Linked DNA regions of Caenorhabditis elegans. The protein of the gene in region 1 interacts with the protein of each later gene in a pairwise test. Each region holds a gene or a part of one and is shown on either strand. Other genes may lie near its edges.

The links.
Region 2: the proteins of zip-2 (region 1) and cebp-2 interact in binary tests that used the Caenorhabditis elegans proteins (3 or more experiments, as listed by UniProt).

Annotation. Positions count from the first base shown.
Region 1 is NC_003281.10:829,834-839,413, forward strand, and holds zip-2 (Transcription factor zip-2), read left to right. Parts: upstream 1-4,254; 5' UTR 4,255-4,341; intron 4,342-4,471; 5' UTR 4,472-4,626; coding exon 4,627-4,635; intron 4,636-4,687; coding exon 4,688-5,003; intron 5,004-5,059; coding exon 5,060-5,380; intron 5,381-5,494; coding exon 5,495-5,775; 3' UTR 5,776-5,978; downstream 5,979-9,580. Other genes in the region: ceeh-1 (Epoxide hydrolase 1), read right to left, coding at 1-282, 1,894-2,018, 2,064-2,438; dos-3 (Delta and OSM-11-like), read right to left, coding at 5,982-6,393, 6,936-7,390, 7,437-7,538, 7,586-7,670, 7,714-7,785, 7,832-7,978, 8,607-8,831, 8,885-9,100 and 2 more. UniProt on the Caenorhabditis elegans protein: Transcription factor that binds to the promoter and the enhancer regions of target genes. May act together with the bZIP transcription factor, cebp-2. Involved in responding to mitochondrial damage.
Region 2 is NC_003279.8:6,249,156-6,257,468, reverse strand, and holds cebp-2 (CCAAT/enhancer-binding protein homolog 2), read right to left. Parts: upstream 4,388-8,313; 5' UTR 4,386-4,387; coding exon 4,288-4,385; intron 4,243-4,287; coding exon 4,155-4,242; intron 4,108-4,154; coding exon 3,991-4,107; 3' UTR 3,885-3,990; downstream 1-3,884. Other genes in the region: let-611 (DNA-directed RNA polymerase III subunit RPC3), read right to left, coding at 1-344, 442-653, 716-860, 920-1,239, 1,711-1,994, 2,043-2,164, 2,227-2,319, 2,365-2,427; lpd-2 (LiPid Depleted), read right to left, coding at 2,629-2,755, 2,803-3,118, 3,163-3,412, 3,458-3,595, 3,643-3,768; cof-2 (Olfactomedin-like domain-containing protein), read right to left, coding at 4,669-4,875, 4,940-5,041, 5,090-5,194, 5,237-5,396, 5,453-5,550, 5,809-5,906, 5,951-6,074, 6,117-6,209 and 2 more; spp-15 (Saposin B-type domain-containing protein), read left to right, coding at 7,427-7,594, 7,671-7,859; C48E7.6 (Chondroitin sulfate proteoglycan 4), read right to left, coding at 8,025-8,171. UniProt on the Caenorhabditis elegans protein: Transcription factor that binds to the promoter and the enhancer regions of target genes. Regulates expression of genes involved in fat metabolism, including ech-1.1 and fat-5.

The DNA.
Region 1 (9,580 bases):
CAGCTTTTTCTGAACTGTGACCAGCTGGTATAAATTCGTTTTCTAAAAGACCCGGGTCTTGGAATGTTGCAACAAATCAACTTATCCACCATCTCTGGATACTGTTCCGCGAATTGCCACGCAACAAGACCTCCCCAGTCATGAGCAACTACAATAGCTTTGTCATAACCAAGACCTTCAATGACATCTCGAATATCTCCAGTTAGCTCATCAATTGAATAATTATCCACGTGTTTTGGCTTATCGGAAAGATTGTAGCCACGTTGATCGATTGCCACACATCTGGAATTTAACGTTATAAATCTTACACGCATCGATAGTTTTGGTAACATAGCTAGACAGTTTTTATAAATTCCAACAAAAATTGTTTTCAAAAATCGCAAGTATTTAAAAAAGTTTCATATTTTCAAAATGTTCACAAAAATTTTTACACAATTTTCAAAATGATGCAATTTGGCAAGGTTTGAAGGTTTTCATTAATTGTTCAGCTCAAAACGTAGTAAATTTCTTTTGTTGCAAACATCAGTAGATGAAATAACAATAACCTTGTTACCGTGCCGTGGGGACCTTTTGTGGTAAGTCCAAGCATTTAAACGCAGCGACTGATTCTTAATAATTTTATTTTAAATTCCGTCTTTTTTACGTTTCGATTTTTAATTAATAATCTTGATAACCAACACCTCCCCTCGTTGAAATGGATACTTTTTCAGATTGATCTCGCATCGTTGAACATCGAAATTTATCCATGATAGTAAATTTAATCTGGTGTCAAACCTCAAAGAGCGTTTGACGGCGTTGAGCGATTATGACTCGTGTTCTACTCCGTGCTCCGTGCTCCGTGCTCCGTGCTCCGTGCTCCGTGCCCCGAGAAAATTAGTAGAGTTAGTGAATCTGACAAAGTTGAATGTCCAAGTGAGGTGGTTTTCCGGAGTCCAACAATGACAAATGATAGTAAGATTTGTGAAGAGAGTGGTGTTGAAGAGAAGATTAGACAAGTTAGGAAAGTTTGAAGATGTAGATAGTGCCTCAAGTTTTGAGTCATAATCGAAAAAAAACGCCCTTGGAGGTTTGACACCAGAAGAAGTGCATCTGGAACGTCGAAAACTGTCATGGATGAAGATCGATGTTCAACGATGCGAGATCAAAATGAAGCTAACAAGTACCAATTTCAACAAGGGGAAAATATGCAACATATTCTTGATTTAACTACATTAATAAACCTATAATCGAATATTGCTCAGTCGTCTACTCTCCCTCTCCTAACTCTAAACTCTCTGCTCATCTTGAAAAGCCTCTTAGATCATTCTCTCGACAAGTATTACAAAGATGCAATATCTCATTTACTTCTTATGAAAACCGTCTTCTAATTCTTAATATCTACTCGATTCGTCATCGAAGGCTTAAGGCAAAGCTTCTACTTCTTTATAAATTCATAAGCGGTACCTCTTACTTCCCAAATCTAAACGATCTGATCAGAATTACAGAGTCTAAAAGAAGGCCTATGATTATTATTTGTACAAAACCAAAAATTACTGATTTTTTCACCTCAACCGTCCCCGTCTGGAATGCTATTTTTCATAATACTCCCCATTTCCTTTCTCCCCGTGAATTTGTTAAAGTTATTGATTCCTCCATAACACGGTTCTGAATAATTTTGTTTGACGGTTATAATTAATTCTATGATCTCTAATTTCCCTAAAAGTCTTTTTTTTCCCTTTCTTCTCTCAATGCCGGTCTATTTTTTTCCTCTCTTTGCCGGACTCGTGAGGGTCCCGACTTTTTTATTGTTTTGATTAACTTTGATTAAACAATAAATTCACTTGTGGGTCATCCTCAACCGTGATTCCACTAGACTCGAAGTCTTTCTCAACAGTAATTTTTTTTTTAAAGCACCTGTATTTATCTGCAAATTCTTTCAACTGAAATCTCCAAGAATACCAAAACTCGGGGTATCCATGAATAAATAGCATTAATGGTTTGTCATCGGATCCAGTTTGGACATAATGAAGCCGCACTTTCTGCAATTTTTCATAGTGCAAAATTTAAAAAAAACTATTTTTTACCTTTAACTTGATGTACCTGCTGTCCCATCCTTCCAAAACGTTTGGCTTCTCCCGCTGCTTTTTCTCAAACAATGATCTTCCTTTAACCGCAAATCCCAGGAATAGAATTGCCGAGAATTTGACAAAATAATAAAATTGTAAGAGGCGGACGAGTATTCTATAGAGAAACATTGTCAAGTAATAAGAAAACGAACCGAACGCAAGGTCGTGACGGGAGAGAGGAAGACTACAATTTATCGGCCGACACAGACACAAAAAGTAAAGAAGATAACCAATAATTTTGTAATTGGGACAATTACATGTAGTGTGGCACACAAACTTCTTGTATTTAGAAAATTTGTTCAAACATTGTATGTATATACTTTCAAACAACATTTGGTCAGTTTTTAGAATGCGATCATTTATTTTCTAGTGTCATTTCACATCCTATACTTAAATATTTTGTGTAAGCGTGTTGGCTTGCAAAACAAGGAAAAACAACAAATATTTAAATCCTTTTGTGGATTTCGAGCTGGTGGTTTTAATATGCACCCACATTTTACAGCGCCTTCTTTGTTATTCTTTCATGTCTACATTATCCCAACTCCGGAGTTAGCTCAAAATTTCCTTTGATCTCCTGAACTTTGAAGCTGAAGCCACAGACACATTCTATTTTTGGTTTTCATTTTCATATTTTGCTCTGACTACAAATTTACGTCTTTGTTTTTCTGGTTTTTCCGGTTGCTTGGCAACAATTGCAATCGCTTATTTGTGTTCAATAACATAAAGTCATACAAACGGAAATCGAAGAAAAATTAATGAAGAAATGTAAAATTGAATATTTATTTTTTATAATTGAATCAACCAGGAGCTTTGTCGAATGTTGATTAATTTTGGCAAGCAGCCTTTTGGATAAATGATTCATTAACTTTAAAATATAAACGAAAAAAACTGTTCCTACGTTGAGAGTACTCCGCTTTGAAAATTATGAAACTACAGTAGTTTGTGACTAGGTACATCTTGTGACATACTGTTGCACAACATTGCATCAAGAGTGGACTATATAAACTGAACTCATTTGAAGAAAATCTTTCACATTTTGTATTCTCAGTCTTCAAATGGATCATATGATTTTCTAACAAGTCGCCCTTTCGACGTCCTGTCAATGCAATGTGTGATCAAAAAGGTTAGTCAGAAATACATTTTATTGAACAGGGTAAACATTGGAAAAAAGCGAAGATTACTCAGAAAACTCCGCTTATCAATCTTCAATTCTTATCAAATGACGTTATGAAGAATTGAAGCAAAAGTCCAATGTGCGATTGTTTAAATGGAATGTATATGTTCTATGAAGTTGTTATTATACCTATGTGTTAAATTCAAATATCGAAAATAAGCAAATGTTAATAAATTTGCTCATAGAACGCACAAGTAATGAGTTCACACCATATCTTGTCTGTATATAAAAATTCACAATGTATTTGAATAAATTATGTCGTACTTGATAAGTAGTGACGTCGGTTGTGATATAAATGCTTGATTAATTTTTGTTTGAATCACAATAATAGTTATTTTTCATACATTTCTCTGGGACGGTACGGGAACAATTTTTTACATGTACTTCAGGTATTTTTGAGAAGCTAACAATTTTCCATATCTAATTGGAAATCAATCATCATCAATTGTGACCTCCTGCAATCCAGTTTTTGTTCAATTAGAGATGCTTCATGAATTTTGTCAATGTGAATCAGAATACTTTCATACTATTTATACTTTTGTACCGATGATCACCATCTGAGTAACCCAACGATGGGTCAGAATGTGTGTTTCAGTTCCTTGATCTTTTGGTTGTGGTCTGAATCAACACATATTCCTCTCCACACTTCGTTCACATTGTTGGTCGGCTGTGTCGGTCGGCGCACGCTCACTGTCCTATTCAAACACACTCTGCCATCCCTAATCCTCTTGCGACACACAGTGTCTTGTCGACCCCCGTCGTCTGTCTCCGACTGGGTGACATCATGTGAAATCTTGCCAAATGTTGTGCAATAGTGGGTGGAGCGTCCGCTCTAACGTGGTTTTTGGGTTTTCTCTGCCTCATTCTTTCGTTTTGACAAATTGTCCATTGGTGACTTTTTGTTTTTTTTTTCTATTTTGCTTACGGGAATCGATTGTTTTGACATGCTTTTGCCTAAACGGTGGTATTTTTCAGCAAGGGACCAGTTTCAAGGTCCCACGACCGCCACCGTCCGCGGAGCAATCAAAACGTCCATCAGTTCGCTTTCATCGCCTTCTCCAGGTTTGTCATATACAAATAATAATTACCTTTTTAAATCATTATCTTATGACGATGACGTGGCGATCACCAATATAAAAAATCAATACAATTCAAATTAAAACGAATAAAATCGATAATTAATATATTTCAGAAAAGTTTTCCCCACCTAGCTAGAAGCTAGCTCGTTTGTCACTAGATTTCGACGGCCTTCCCGAAGATTTCTTTTCTCCACAATGTATCACGCAAAGACAACCACCGATTTTAACATGTTCAGTCAACAGTGTTGCTTCATGGACGAGGCCAAGTATGGAGCCGGTTAGTTTTTCATAATTGGACGAATATTTTATTTTTACAAATAATTGTTCAGCTATCGGCTCCACTAGCCGTCGGGTTTTCGGCTTGGCCTCCGTCGCCGCCACTTCCGCCGTTGGCCCACTCACCGCTCCAGGATGCAGTCCACGCCGACCACAACCATCGTCGGATCCTCAACTCTTGCAGAAACCTGCCGGATTGCCTGACGACTACAGTTCCTCAGCTTCACCAGATCAATTCTGCCGAGCAATCTCCACTACAGTTCACGCATCAACCAAATTGCGATTTAATTGTGGTTCTCGACGAGCAAACGACCTACACGACTACAATGACACGACGTTCCCTACCGAAAGCGGACCGTTATTTGAGCGGTTAGTTGGCGAATTTGAGCGAATTTGAATCATAATTTGAATAATAAAATTTTCAGAGCCCAACATGAGCACGCCACAAGCTTCCCACGGGAGCTTTGAATTTGATGTACCAGAGTACACATCCTTCGACTATGCATTCGATTTCCCACCGGTTCCAGAAGCCTTCCCACCAGCCGCCAATAGTTCCTCGGCTGCATCTCCAGATGCAGATTTTCTTGATCTGGATTCTCTCATGAGCTGTGATATCACATCTCTTGACGCCTACATTCATGATGATTCCATTGCCTCTCCTTCTAACGCTTCACACATTTCTCCTCCAGCGTCGGACATTGATCCAGTTGACGAGTTCTTTCCACAGCTTGTGCACAATAATAAAAGTAAGCTTAAGACAGTATCACACTAATTAGGAAAATCCACGTCATCGTCTGAACCCATTTATATATTCTTTAACTCAGCTCTTTGTTCAATTTAAACATTAAAAACCATTTCAGTTCAATCATCTTCCTCCTCAACAGTTGAAACGACAATAACACGTGGGCGCAAAACTTCATCGGTATCGTCCGATTCGTCATCGGACTACCGTCATAAACGGGATAAGAACAATCTAGCATCCCAAAAATCTCGTCAAAAGCGCCAAGCCAAAATTCGCGAATCAAAGGAGGAAAGAGAGCGTCTAGAGAAGCGAAAAGTTCAACTTCAAGCAATGGTTTTAACCTTGGAGACTCAAGTCGAGGACTACAAGCGATTGGTCATGATGTTTGTAAAGCGATAAATATATTAATCAGATCGCGTTTTTTTCTCATTTTATTGTGTGTGTACATAAATTCAAATTTAATTTTATTTTGTTCTCGTTTTTTTCCTCATTACTTATCCCTTATCCCTTATTCACCAACCTCATTTTATCTCATCTCATCTCAATAGCAAATAGTATTTATATTCCTTTTCATTAATCAAAATAAAGTAGAAAAATAGAAATAATTAATCATAATCATCAGGAATATTAAGGAAAGTTCCAATAGAGGGAAAGTGAATAGCACTAAACCCATCAGTACCTCCAACTCCAGCAGCTGGCACGGCCCAATGTGCACCATAAGCGATTTGGCCCTGGAGCCAATCCACGTTCACGGATTCCGGGTGATAATAGTATTTGTTAGCATGATCGCGATTATGTGGGTCATCTGGATTCGGCTCCCAGAGCCCTGGTTTAGTGAATGGTGATCTACTACGAGGGCGATGCAGGATTCCTCGAGAGTCGGTTAAAGAGTTGTATTGATCTAATGCATTGGAGAACACACTGTCCGAAAATACTGGAACTGCTGCACCACCTGTAGTTTTTTTCACGCGTGGAAGATTGGGAGCTGATTGATCGGCATCTTTTAGAACTTGATCTCTGAAAGAAGATTTGCGACTTGGTTAGAAATAAATATAACATTTTCATTATTTCTTAAAGCAATTTATAGAGTCTAACCTGTGAGTTTAAGAACCTAATCATATGAGTTTGTCTAAGAGACAAGGTCGCAATTAAAGTTCTAAACTCCAGGGCCTGCAACTAAAATTCAAAACCTAAAAACGTAAAACCTAGGACTTGAACCTAAAAATCGGAACGTCAGAATCGGCGGTTAAACTTAATTAACTAAATATTAGGATTTTATGTTTAAATCCTAACTATTAGATGCATACCTTTAAGTTAAGATTCCATCACTCGAATTTTTATGTGTAAGTCGTTATTAGGCTTTTAAGCGCAGGTCTGAAGACGTTTGTTCTTAATTTTCAAATCTTAAATTCGGAACTCTTCCTGATTTTTTGACCCTTCGACTAAGGCTTACATAATCTAAATCTTATGCTTTTAATTTAACACCTTCTATAACACATTCCCTCTAAAAAGTTAGCAAAACAATTTTGTTATTTAACTCGAAAATAGAAATAATTCACCTTGAATTAGTTTGCTTTGGAAGTGGTGGCGCCGCAATTAGATGAACTGTTGTTCCATTCTTCAAAGTTATTACTTTATCAACGTTTTTTGTTGTAGTTTGGTTCAATTCCATTTCAAAATCGACAGTGTCATTCTTATTGTCTTCTAAAAATAAACTAGTATCATTTGGCCAAAAAACCATGTCAGAATCTCTCTTGAATCTTCGAGCAGATGCCGGTTTATACGGTAAAGTTTCACCAGAAGGAGCCAACAGTTGGAATGTTGTGGACGTCTTTGGTCCTTCCAAAACTTTTCCTTTTTCTGCTTTCGAATAGATAAACTGAGATGCATAATGGTATCTCTCGTATTTCGGGCATCCATAATACCAAAGTCTGCATGTGTTTAGAAATAGAGGCAATGGAGGTGGGTTGCAGAACTTTTGAACCGCTGGGTAATCGTAGTCACATTTGCATTCCTAGATTAGTTTGAATTCGAATTAATTTTAAAAAAGATCAACAAACCTTTGTACAATGTGGAAATATTCGTTCATCACAATCTGCGGAACACGGTCTTCTTTTCAGCAATTTAGCACGTCTGCTTGCTGCTGATGATTTTCTAATGGACTTCAATTTTTTTTAAATACACCTAATTTCATATTAACAGCTTTTACCGGATGGTCTAAATCTGGGAAATCTGATGTTCCACTTGCTGATTGTATTTGGCCCTTAGAAGCGGAGAATGGGTTAGCTGGCACTCTGCAATGGAAGTTTGCTTAAAAACTCGCGTGTGTCAACTCACCGCTCTTGCACACATGCTTTTTTATACGAAGGGCAGAATTTCGTGAAGATTTCCGCATTTTCAATATTGCCTCTGGCAAAAAAAAATGATTCGTAAGGTTTTTCGTTCAACAACTTACTTGCAATAATATTCATAGTTAACGCTGAACTTCTCACAGTATTCCTTCTTTGACCCTTTATACAAATACGTTTTATCTTCCCCTGTTGATGATCTACTCTCCTCATTACCACCTTCATTTCCCAAAAACGAGCCGGATTGCTTTAGTCTGTAACAGCAACAGACTGGAATTAATTCAAGCAGCAGGAATCTGTTGAAAGACAGCATCTGCAGTCAAACTATAAAATTCAATTTGAATAATAAAAGTACGGACCCTTGGTCAAATTTGAAAATTGCTCTGCTTTCTGGCACTAACAAGGAGTGACTAAACATACTTTTTCAAATTCAAACTTGCATTTTAATAATGTTGTTTGTTTACAATAAGCGTATAAAAATGTTCATAAACTAGTTTTGACTTTCTCGCGATGCTAGCACGCTTTGGTTGTGAACAAGGGACAGAATGGAGAGCTTCTTGTAAAAGAGAACTATCATACTTCCGAAAATGCCTAACAATGCACAACTGTAAGCAAATATTTTTCAGGTGTTAAAACAAAACTAGCGGGGCTTTATAAACTGAACAGGTTTTAATCATTCCTTCCCAATAGAAAATTAGACAACTACAGAAACCATGCAATCTTGTTTTGAGATACATCCAGAGTAAGAAAAAACCGAAGGTATACGAAAGTATCAAAAATAGACGACTCAACTCTTTATATACAAACAAATAACAAAACAATTCAAACAAAAAAAATAAATTAAATTCAAAAAAAAAAACATAACCATCTGCAGATACTCACGAAACTCGATCGGGACAGTTTTTCTTGTACGAATTGCAAAACTTTTCGTGTTCTGGAGACATGTCCCCGACACAATAGAAATTGTAGTTCTCCACGTAGTTTGTGCAGTACGCGGTTACTTCGTCAGTTCCGACTCCTTGTGCTTCTGGTTTCGCTTCTTCCGCTTCTTCTCCTTTTTTCTCTATCCTTTGAGATTGATGTTCTTCAAATTCGTCAGGGGTTTCACTGTAATTAAAACATCAGTCTTGGTCTTGAAATTGAGATTTCGAAAAACATACAGTGAATCATCGCCAAAATCATCTGTGGTATCCGCGTCGATTGTATCTAGTTTCCCACATTGTTCCTTGAATTTCCGGCAGAACACTTCCGGCTGGAACCCTTCCTTTTCACATTCATTCTTGTAACGGTCCATGTTTCCGTCACAATAACTAACTTTTGGGGATGAAGTACTTGAAGGGAGCGCTCCGATGAATGGTCGAGGTGTTGGGAATACTCTTAAATTTTAAAAACTAAATTATTTATAACCACGGTAAGTGAGCTTACTTTTCAGTTTTCGCAGTTGACTTGTCTTCTTTGACTATCCCCTTGATGTTGCAATTTTTCATGTAAGTAGAACAAAAAGTGGCCAACAAACCCTCAAGACTTGCAAGTTTCCCAGTCAAACAATAAGTACTGAAGTTGTTTGAATATTTTGTACAGTAATCAGGTATACTGTAGATTTTTTTTCTGGATGTTTCTAGCTCATCAACGTCTTCAATGTCTTGCGCGTCTTTTGCCGAGACATATGCCCATCTGAGAAAAATGTCATGCTTCTTCTCACTTTCACTGCGGATTTCGCGAGTAGTGGTATCTGAAAATGGAGTTGTGAGACTTTTTATTTTGAGGAGATACGAGTTACTCACGTCTACGACAAAATGAAAATTCCGGATTGATCTCGCACGCTCGTCGAACCAACATATCACGAGCATTCAAGA
Region 2 (8,313 bases), on another chromosome or scaffold:
GATTGATCCTGAGCAGCCAGCAAAGTAGCCTGAGCTTTACGGAAGCGATTCAATTGTGCACGATCTGGACCAGGAAGGTACATTTCTTCAACTTCTGCAATTTGTGCCAACTTTGAAGCTTCATCGAGTTGCTCAGAAGAGCGAATGTTTTCAATAATTGGTTGAACATTCGCATCCTTGTCGAGCACCGATTTATTTTCAGTTCGTTCATGTCGTTGACGAACAATAAGGTTTCGGACCAATTTGCAAGTGTACTCTACGAGACCACGAATAGTACGAGGTAGATCTACATAGTAGAGATAGAATGTGCGAGCGGGTTGGAAATCGTTGCTACGACCGACAGGCTGAAATATTTCAATATGTTGAAGTACAATAATTTTTGAATTCGTGTTATACCAACTATTCAGTAAATTAAAGTAGAATAATTCAACCGAAAATTACCTTATTGAACACATATCCTTCTTCAACTAATGCGTATAACATTTCTCTTGCTTCTTTTCCACTCATCATGCTCAACTTCTCTACTTGTTCTTCATCCAGATAATGACGATTTTCAAGAAGTCTCATAACTCGAATTGCACGTCCTTCGAACTGTTCTCTGATGAGCGATTCACAGTGATGACGACAGATTTGACGAATAGCGCGACGAATGTCTGAAATAATTTAACTTTCATATTTGAAAATCTTCAAAGAATTTAGAGAGAAAAAAACATACCGACAATAAAAATACCTCCATTTGATTCTCCAAGTTTTCTGATAATTCCGTCCGATTCATCAACAAGGATCTGGCAAGCGAGTTCAATATCTGGCTTGGCAAGGTTCAGTCCATTTTCTTTAACAAGTCGTTGCAAATCGGTCAACTGAAACGGAATAATAACCATTTTTTAATAATCACTAATCAAGCAAAAAGTAGGCTTACACTGGCTGTGATACTCTCCATACTCATTGGTTTAGCTCTCGTTTCGTTAATTTTGAACATAAGATGAGCCACATTCTGTGTGATGTATTGAGTTCTATCTCCTTGTGGATCTTCGATGGTTTCTTCTTTTTTGACATTTAAATTTGTCATTGTACCTTTTGAACCACCTCCAATAAGATAATCAATAATAAGCTCATCGCGAAGATATCCATTGAATCGGATCCAATTGATTCTCCAATATTGACCTGCATCACCATCCTCTGGAGTTGAATCAGCTTTTCGCTTTCGGTTGTTTGAAGTTGAGTCGCTAGTGGATGTTCCTGTAATAAAATATATGGAATTTATTTAAAAAGATTACTATGGTGCTAAAATGCCCGAATATGTATATCATAATAAAACATTTCAAAAAATTCGGAAAATCATATATTTTGAACCAAAAACCGGTGAAAACTCATTTTTCACCAATTTGTTTGGATGCTGTCAAGCAAATGTTTTTTTTCAGTTTTATTATGTTTGAAATATTTATATTTCATAGTGCTTCAGATTTCTCTAAGAGCGAACTCATTTGAACCACTTTTTAACACGAATTAAAACAAATTTTTAAAAAATTTAGATTTCAATATTTAGTAATTTAAGTATCATGCATGATAGAAATAAATTTAATCATTTTCCTACATGTCTATTCACTATTTATTTTTGATCACGATTTCAATCGTAATAAATACAATACAATACAATACAGACCGCATTCTAAATTTAAAGATTGCTTTATACTATTTTATTCTCATTACCTTCTTTCTTTTCCATGATATTAGTAGATATTGCAAATGGATCAAAATTGGTCACAAATTGAGGACAACCATGAATTTCTGATTCTACAGACGGAACTCGAATGAGAAAATGTGCAGCTGCGAGTTCTTCGAAAGATTTCTTGATGTCACTGAACACGGCCGTCTCATCTGTCGCTTGAATTCGACGAATTGTCTCGGATACGGTAAGCCGCCCTTGAGAAATAAGTTCGACGCAGATAGACTCTGCAGCAGGTCCGTAGAGCGTTTTAGCAATGAGGCAAGCTCTGAAAATTATATATTTGGCTCTATAAAATATATTTACAACTTTTTACCTCGGCGAGGAAATGACATGTTGAATTTGGTCGGAATCTGCAACATATGTGGTTCGATTGTTCGTGTCCAAGTGGAAAGTAACAAAACCAAAGTTGATCAATGTGGAAACCGATTTTCTGATCTGAAAATTTATCTATTTTTTCTGCAAGTGAACTCAATATCCTCCAAATCAATATAACTAACTAGAGTATTTGAAATTTGTCCTTTCAGTTTATAAAAAAGAGTAGACAACTGGCAGCTTTCTTTCAGAATCGTCTCCATTACTTTCGCCACAATCTGTAATTCAAAAAAAGTTTAAAAAGAAAGTTTTTAAATTCTTACCTTTCCGAAAATATCTTCGATGATAATTACACACATTTGAGTCTCATACTTTCCACCACCCATTTTTGATCTGAAGGTCTTTTAGTAAAAAAGCTTTCCTTGGAAGTTTTACAGATATTTGGCTTTGCAACCGCTCTGGAAATTGTTTTTTGAAAATATTTTTTTTAAGTGTTGTTTCTAATACAATAAAAACAAGTAAAACAAAACAAATAAAAAGTTAACAAAAAATTCAACAACTGGCAAATAAAAATGCAACAAAAAACATTATTGTCTTCTGCGAATAGCCCTTTTTCGTCCTTCCTTCTTTCCTTTTGCCGCTTTCTTTCGTTCCTTTTGGGATTTTTTGTGTCGTTTTGTGTCCCCGCCAGCACCAGAAGATGTAGCACGCTTTCTGAATAATGGATCATATGTTGGACAATTTTAAAAGTTAAAGATTACCTTTTATTTCCTTCGGAAAGTGCTCTACCATCTTCTCCTCTCATCATATAATCTCCAAAACTGAGCAAATCATCAAGAGTTTCCGAACGTCCTAGTTGTTCGCTTCGTCGTTTCTGATCCTTATTCAATCGAATTCTGGTGAAGTTATCCTCCTCATAACGTTCTCTCTCACGATCATATTGATATTTCTTCTCACTCATCTCTCGAATTTCTTCCGGAGCATCACTGTATTGATTTTTGAGTTCCATAATAAGACTACTTTGCATTGCACGACGTTTTGCCTTTTCTTGTTGCTTGTTCGGAGCTTCGTCTTCTTCTAAAATGAACATAACTTTACGGAAAACTAATTTTTGAACATACCTTCATATCGAACTGCTCTAATTCTTGGTGCCACATATTTCTTAACTTCCTTTGCTCCTTTTCCTTCCTCATCATCTTCATCTTCCTCCTCTTCTTCTTCATCTCCTTCAACGTCCATATTGTCTAATCGAACTCTGTGATTTCCCTTGGAAGAACCATTTGATGCTCCACTCTCGGCGCTTGACCGGCCTAGTAGCTTTTCAATTTGAGGTTTCATCTTATCCTCGACTGGTTTCATTTTTTCAATGAACTGAAACTAGTTTTTTAGGAACAGTTGGAATACTAAAATACATACCACTCTATGCTTTAAAGCTCTTTTAACAGATGGTTCTACTGTAATTGACTCTCCTTTCATCATTTTCGACATAAGGACAGTCAACTCTCCAAGGTACGCTGTCATTTCATAGTTTTTCAGCTTCAGAAGACTAAGCCCCTGTAAATAAAAAAGTTTTTGAATAAATCTTGAGGTTTTCATTTCACTTCTTTGTCATCGTTCGTTTCCTCCATCCGATCGAAAACTTTACTGAAAGCTTTTACTGCTTCTGCAGTTTGAGTTTCCAGTTCTGCCACTAAATCAGCAAACGCTTCTTGCTCCGTTTCGGTCATCTGAAAGAAACGTTTTTTTTGATACAACACAAATTCAAAAAGTTAATTAATAAGATCATTCAAGATAAATTGTTGGAAACGTACCACACAAAAAAAAACAGTTTAAAAAAGAAAGTAAAGCGTTTTCTAAATTTATTTTTCTTTGGTTATTGGAATGCGTGAATTGAGTTATTTGTATAAAATTTACAGAAATGGTGGATAAATCTTTGATTAAATTGTTATCTACACGGCGGAAGAAGATGGTGGTGGCGGTGGTGGTGGTCCATCATTTCCGTCGTTTTTCGCATATGCCATAAACATTTCTTTAAGAAATGATAACTCTTTCTGTAGCTGCTCGACCTGATAGAGGGAATTAATTAAAATTAAAAAATCAAGTAAACAAGTACCTTTCTTTCTAGTGTTTCGTTCTCCTTTTTTAATTCGTCTACTTTTTCTGCAGTGTCATTTTCTTCCTGGCGTTTTTTTTGTCGGGTTCTGGAATTTTTAATTAGATTTTAGCGGCTAAAAATGAAATTTTACCTGTTCACAGCTTCGTTATTCCGTTTTCGTTTAGTGGAATAGTCATCTTCATCGTCCTCACGAGGCTCTGATGTGTTTCGCTTCCGATTTCCACTCATCGCTTGAAATTGCAACAAAAAATCGAGGAAAACTATGGAATTAATAGAAAAATGATGGAAAAAAGGTTTTGTGGAATTACGATAAAGTACGCGCGAGTGTGTAAAACGGAGCGTCGTTGCGTGAGACACCACAGAAATTCGAGAAAGGGGAACTAAAACTCCTGAAAAAATATATAGGAAAGAGCTACTTTCACGATATTCACGATAAATTAATTACTTTATATTTCTCGAATAAAACTGAATTTATTTTAAAATATAGTAAATGAACTATGTACTACACAAATTATTTAGCCAGCCAATGCAAAAGTGGAGGTACAGAGAGCATATAACCATGATCGTAGATGTAAATTCTCTTATCATAAGCATTATAGCTAATCATATTGGCGTTCTTGTACAAATTAATCCATTTAATCAAAGGTTGGGAGTATGTGTTTCTGTAGAAATCGTATGCCGTAGAGATATACGTGGATTGTTCTGATGCACTTTCCACCTGGAATAATGTTGATTTGATTTTGCTATTGGTCAAGCTTGATATCAAATAAAAAATTCTAAACCAAATAAATTGTTCCACAAACGACGATTCCATTTGCAACATCTGTATGATTTACTGTCGTGAGGTTGAATGCCTCATAAATTGTCAAATTATTTATATCCACCTGGAATAGTACCTAGTAGATAGATTTCAATGAACAACTTAAAATTACTTTAGCTACTGATAAGAAAGCTTCTTCCTGATAGTGAAACATGACCCAAAGTGCATTTTCATCGATTGCCAAGTCAAAATAATTCATCGAATTATTATAAAGGTACTGAAATTGGAAACTTTGACTTAAAACAATTTCAAAACTCACCTGATCCCCACGATAAGCTGCTCCCGGTATTTCAAACTGTGAGTACTGTTTCGAGTTGAACTCGTATTTTGCAATAATTGGATATCCTGCTCTTTGATAGAAAAGAGATGCATTGAAAATAACATGATTTGTTCCATCGAATATATATGGAAGGCGATGGCTGAAAAAGAATAAAAAGTTCTCAAATATTTGAAAAATTTTGAAAGAAAACCATACACTTTTCCGACATGGTCCCGTCGCATTTCAGCTTCATTCCTAAATTCGATGAGCTCGTGGCCTTGGAAATGGTTCATTACGTATCGTTTTCTAGCGTCCTGAAACAAGATATACATATGTTGAGATATGCCTTTCTCATAATGTACAGTATACCAGTACTCGGCGAACCAGTGAGTTTCGGTTTGTGACAGCTTTCCAAACTTTTTTTTACTTTTTCCCGGTTTTTTAGCATTTTCATGCCCGAACGTCTCGACCGGAAAACGCCTCCGAAAAATGAACCACGAACATACATACAGAAAGAGTTGAATAAAGTGTGAGCAAATTTTTCAGTTCCATTTTCAAGCTCCCAAACTTACATCGCCGGTTGGAGGGTATGCATCTCTCATCCAGCTTCCATAATATGTTGTAGAATGAGAATGGAACACAGGTTTTCCAACGTTTTGAAGTCGGCAATCTTAACATTCTTCAACTCCTTTTAAGACTGAATATAATACTTACGGGCAGTAACTCCTTGAATATATGCAACTGGAGTCGTAATGGTCTCTTCAATTTCTTCATCGAGAGTGTAGTTTTTCAAACATATTTTCACGCATCCCTCGACTTCACTGTAGTTGGAAAGGATCTGAAAATATGCTTTGGATCTGAAAGTTATTACTGAAGTCACCTGCTGAACCAATCCAGGCATTGGTTGATGTGTGACTGAAGGCCAGGGAGTTGTTGGAATGGCTTCTCTGTTCGGGCATTCCAGATTTTCAATCTGTAAATTCTTTCCTTCTTTGAGAAGCCCAGAGAAGCTAGGTTGTTAGACAATCTACATAGCTCACAGAATCTTGAACAACTTTATATTTCAGCTAGAAGTCACGATCTGCGACCTACCTTTCTAGGTTGTAGGTCCAGCCCCTTTCAAACTTACAGTAGGACATTTGAACTCCCTTTCCATCAACAGCTCATCTCTAATCGGGCATGAAGAACAATCCGCATCTTTTCCAATATTTCCAGGTGGTCCCACAGGTCCAGGGTGCCCTGGGATTCCCATTAACCCTCTTCGTCCTTGTGGTCCAGCAGGTCCACTCTTTCCAGGTGGGCCTACAGGTCCAACAGGGCCCGGTTTCCCGCGCACGTCGTCTTGTTCACTACAGTATTCATGAATTTCAGTACATTTGTGCATTAGCTCTCCAATTTTTACAGAAGACAAGGATGTTAGCCACAGGATGTCTGAAGCATTTTTGCCTCTTGATAGGGGAATATCACGTTTGGAACGAAAATTTAGTTCAGTGAGAGATTGACATTCGGATTCCAATGTCCAAATTCTGAAATTAATTTTTTTCTGCAGTTTTTTTATAATATATCTTCTTGATGAATCACTTGCCTGTAATGAATATGAGAAAACGCGAGAACAGCAATTAATGTGATTGCTAAGTTGCAATAATGTAAATTTTCTTCCATTTTAGTTGAAGAAACTAGGCTCAATCAATAGGTTCCTATCAGTAAAAGCTTGATAATAAAAGTAATATATTTGGGTGGTATAGTGAAATAATGTGCACATTTGAAATGAAATATGATTCCAGCAAATAATTGGAATAAACATTTTGTGCGAAACTTTTTGTTGATATTCGCTGATTTTCAGTTGCGACAGAAGGCGATGTTAGAGCAAAGAACCGGTGTTCTTTACAAATATTTGTAGGTTTTTCCAAAACTGTAAACTTAGCATATTGAGCCATTAACACCTAAATTCGTTTTCATCATATCTATCTGAATATGTGTTCAGAGTGTGAAGTGTATGTAGTTTGTAGAGCTCCAAACGTTTCTGGTTAGTGAATAAATTGAGTCAAACTTGTAAACACTTTACACTTTTCCTCTTATAACTGCTGACAAACAGCTGTTCCTGATCGCGGTCACTCTTTTTACACTTTCTCCGCATTCTTATTGTTTTTCTAAGTCAGAAGTTTATTCTTTCCACACGTTTTCATTGCAATGAATTATCTTATTTTACTTGCCTTTTTGGCAATAACTTTGACTGTTTCAAACGTGGAAGGCGCCAAGAAAATGCATTCGGATACGTCAAAACCACTCTGCGGACTTTGTGTTAATGTTGTAAAGCAGCTCGATCAGGTTTTGGAACACGGAGGTGATATTGAAGCGGTAAGAGATTCAAATACCTTTAACAATTCTTTATTTCAATTATGCCTCTGATCAACCAATTAAAGCTTATTTTCAGGCAGTTGACAAATTTTGCAAAGAAGATGTTCCATCATTTATGGTTGATATGTGTGAAAAGGTGATCGAGAAGAATTTGGAATACATTATCAATAAACTGAAGGATCACGAAGAAGCCGATAAGATTTGCACTGATATTCTTCTTTGTCGCACTCCAAAACAATATTATTTCTTGGAAACTCAGAAGTAACTCGTAATTTTTTTAAATAAATATTTTTGAAATAATAAATTTGCATTTATAACTAAAAATGAATTCAATGAGATCACAGAGACGTAGAGAATGATTTTGAGAAACGGAAAGGCACTGTAGGTTGATTGGAAATTAATAGTTTCGGGAAATTGAAGTGATTTCTTGTTATACCCAATAATGATTTGTCGGTTGTGTTTGAGCAACTTGCTCAAATAATCGCATTGGAGGTGGAGTATCAGATGTTATTCCTGCGTAATCCAGAGAAGATACATTTTGACGACGAGGATTTGGAGGTTTTCGTGATGAAGATGACTGGAAAGTTATTGATTAACCGTGCGGATTCGGTTTGAAAGTTTTTAATTTTCCAGAAGATTAGATGACTCGAAAACTTTCATGAATTACAGGTAGATATAGTTTGTCTATAAACTACTGGGAACAGTCTGTAATTTTGAAA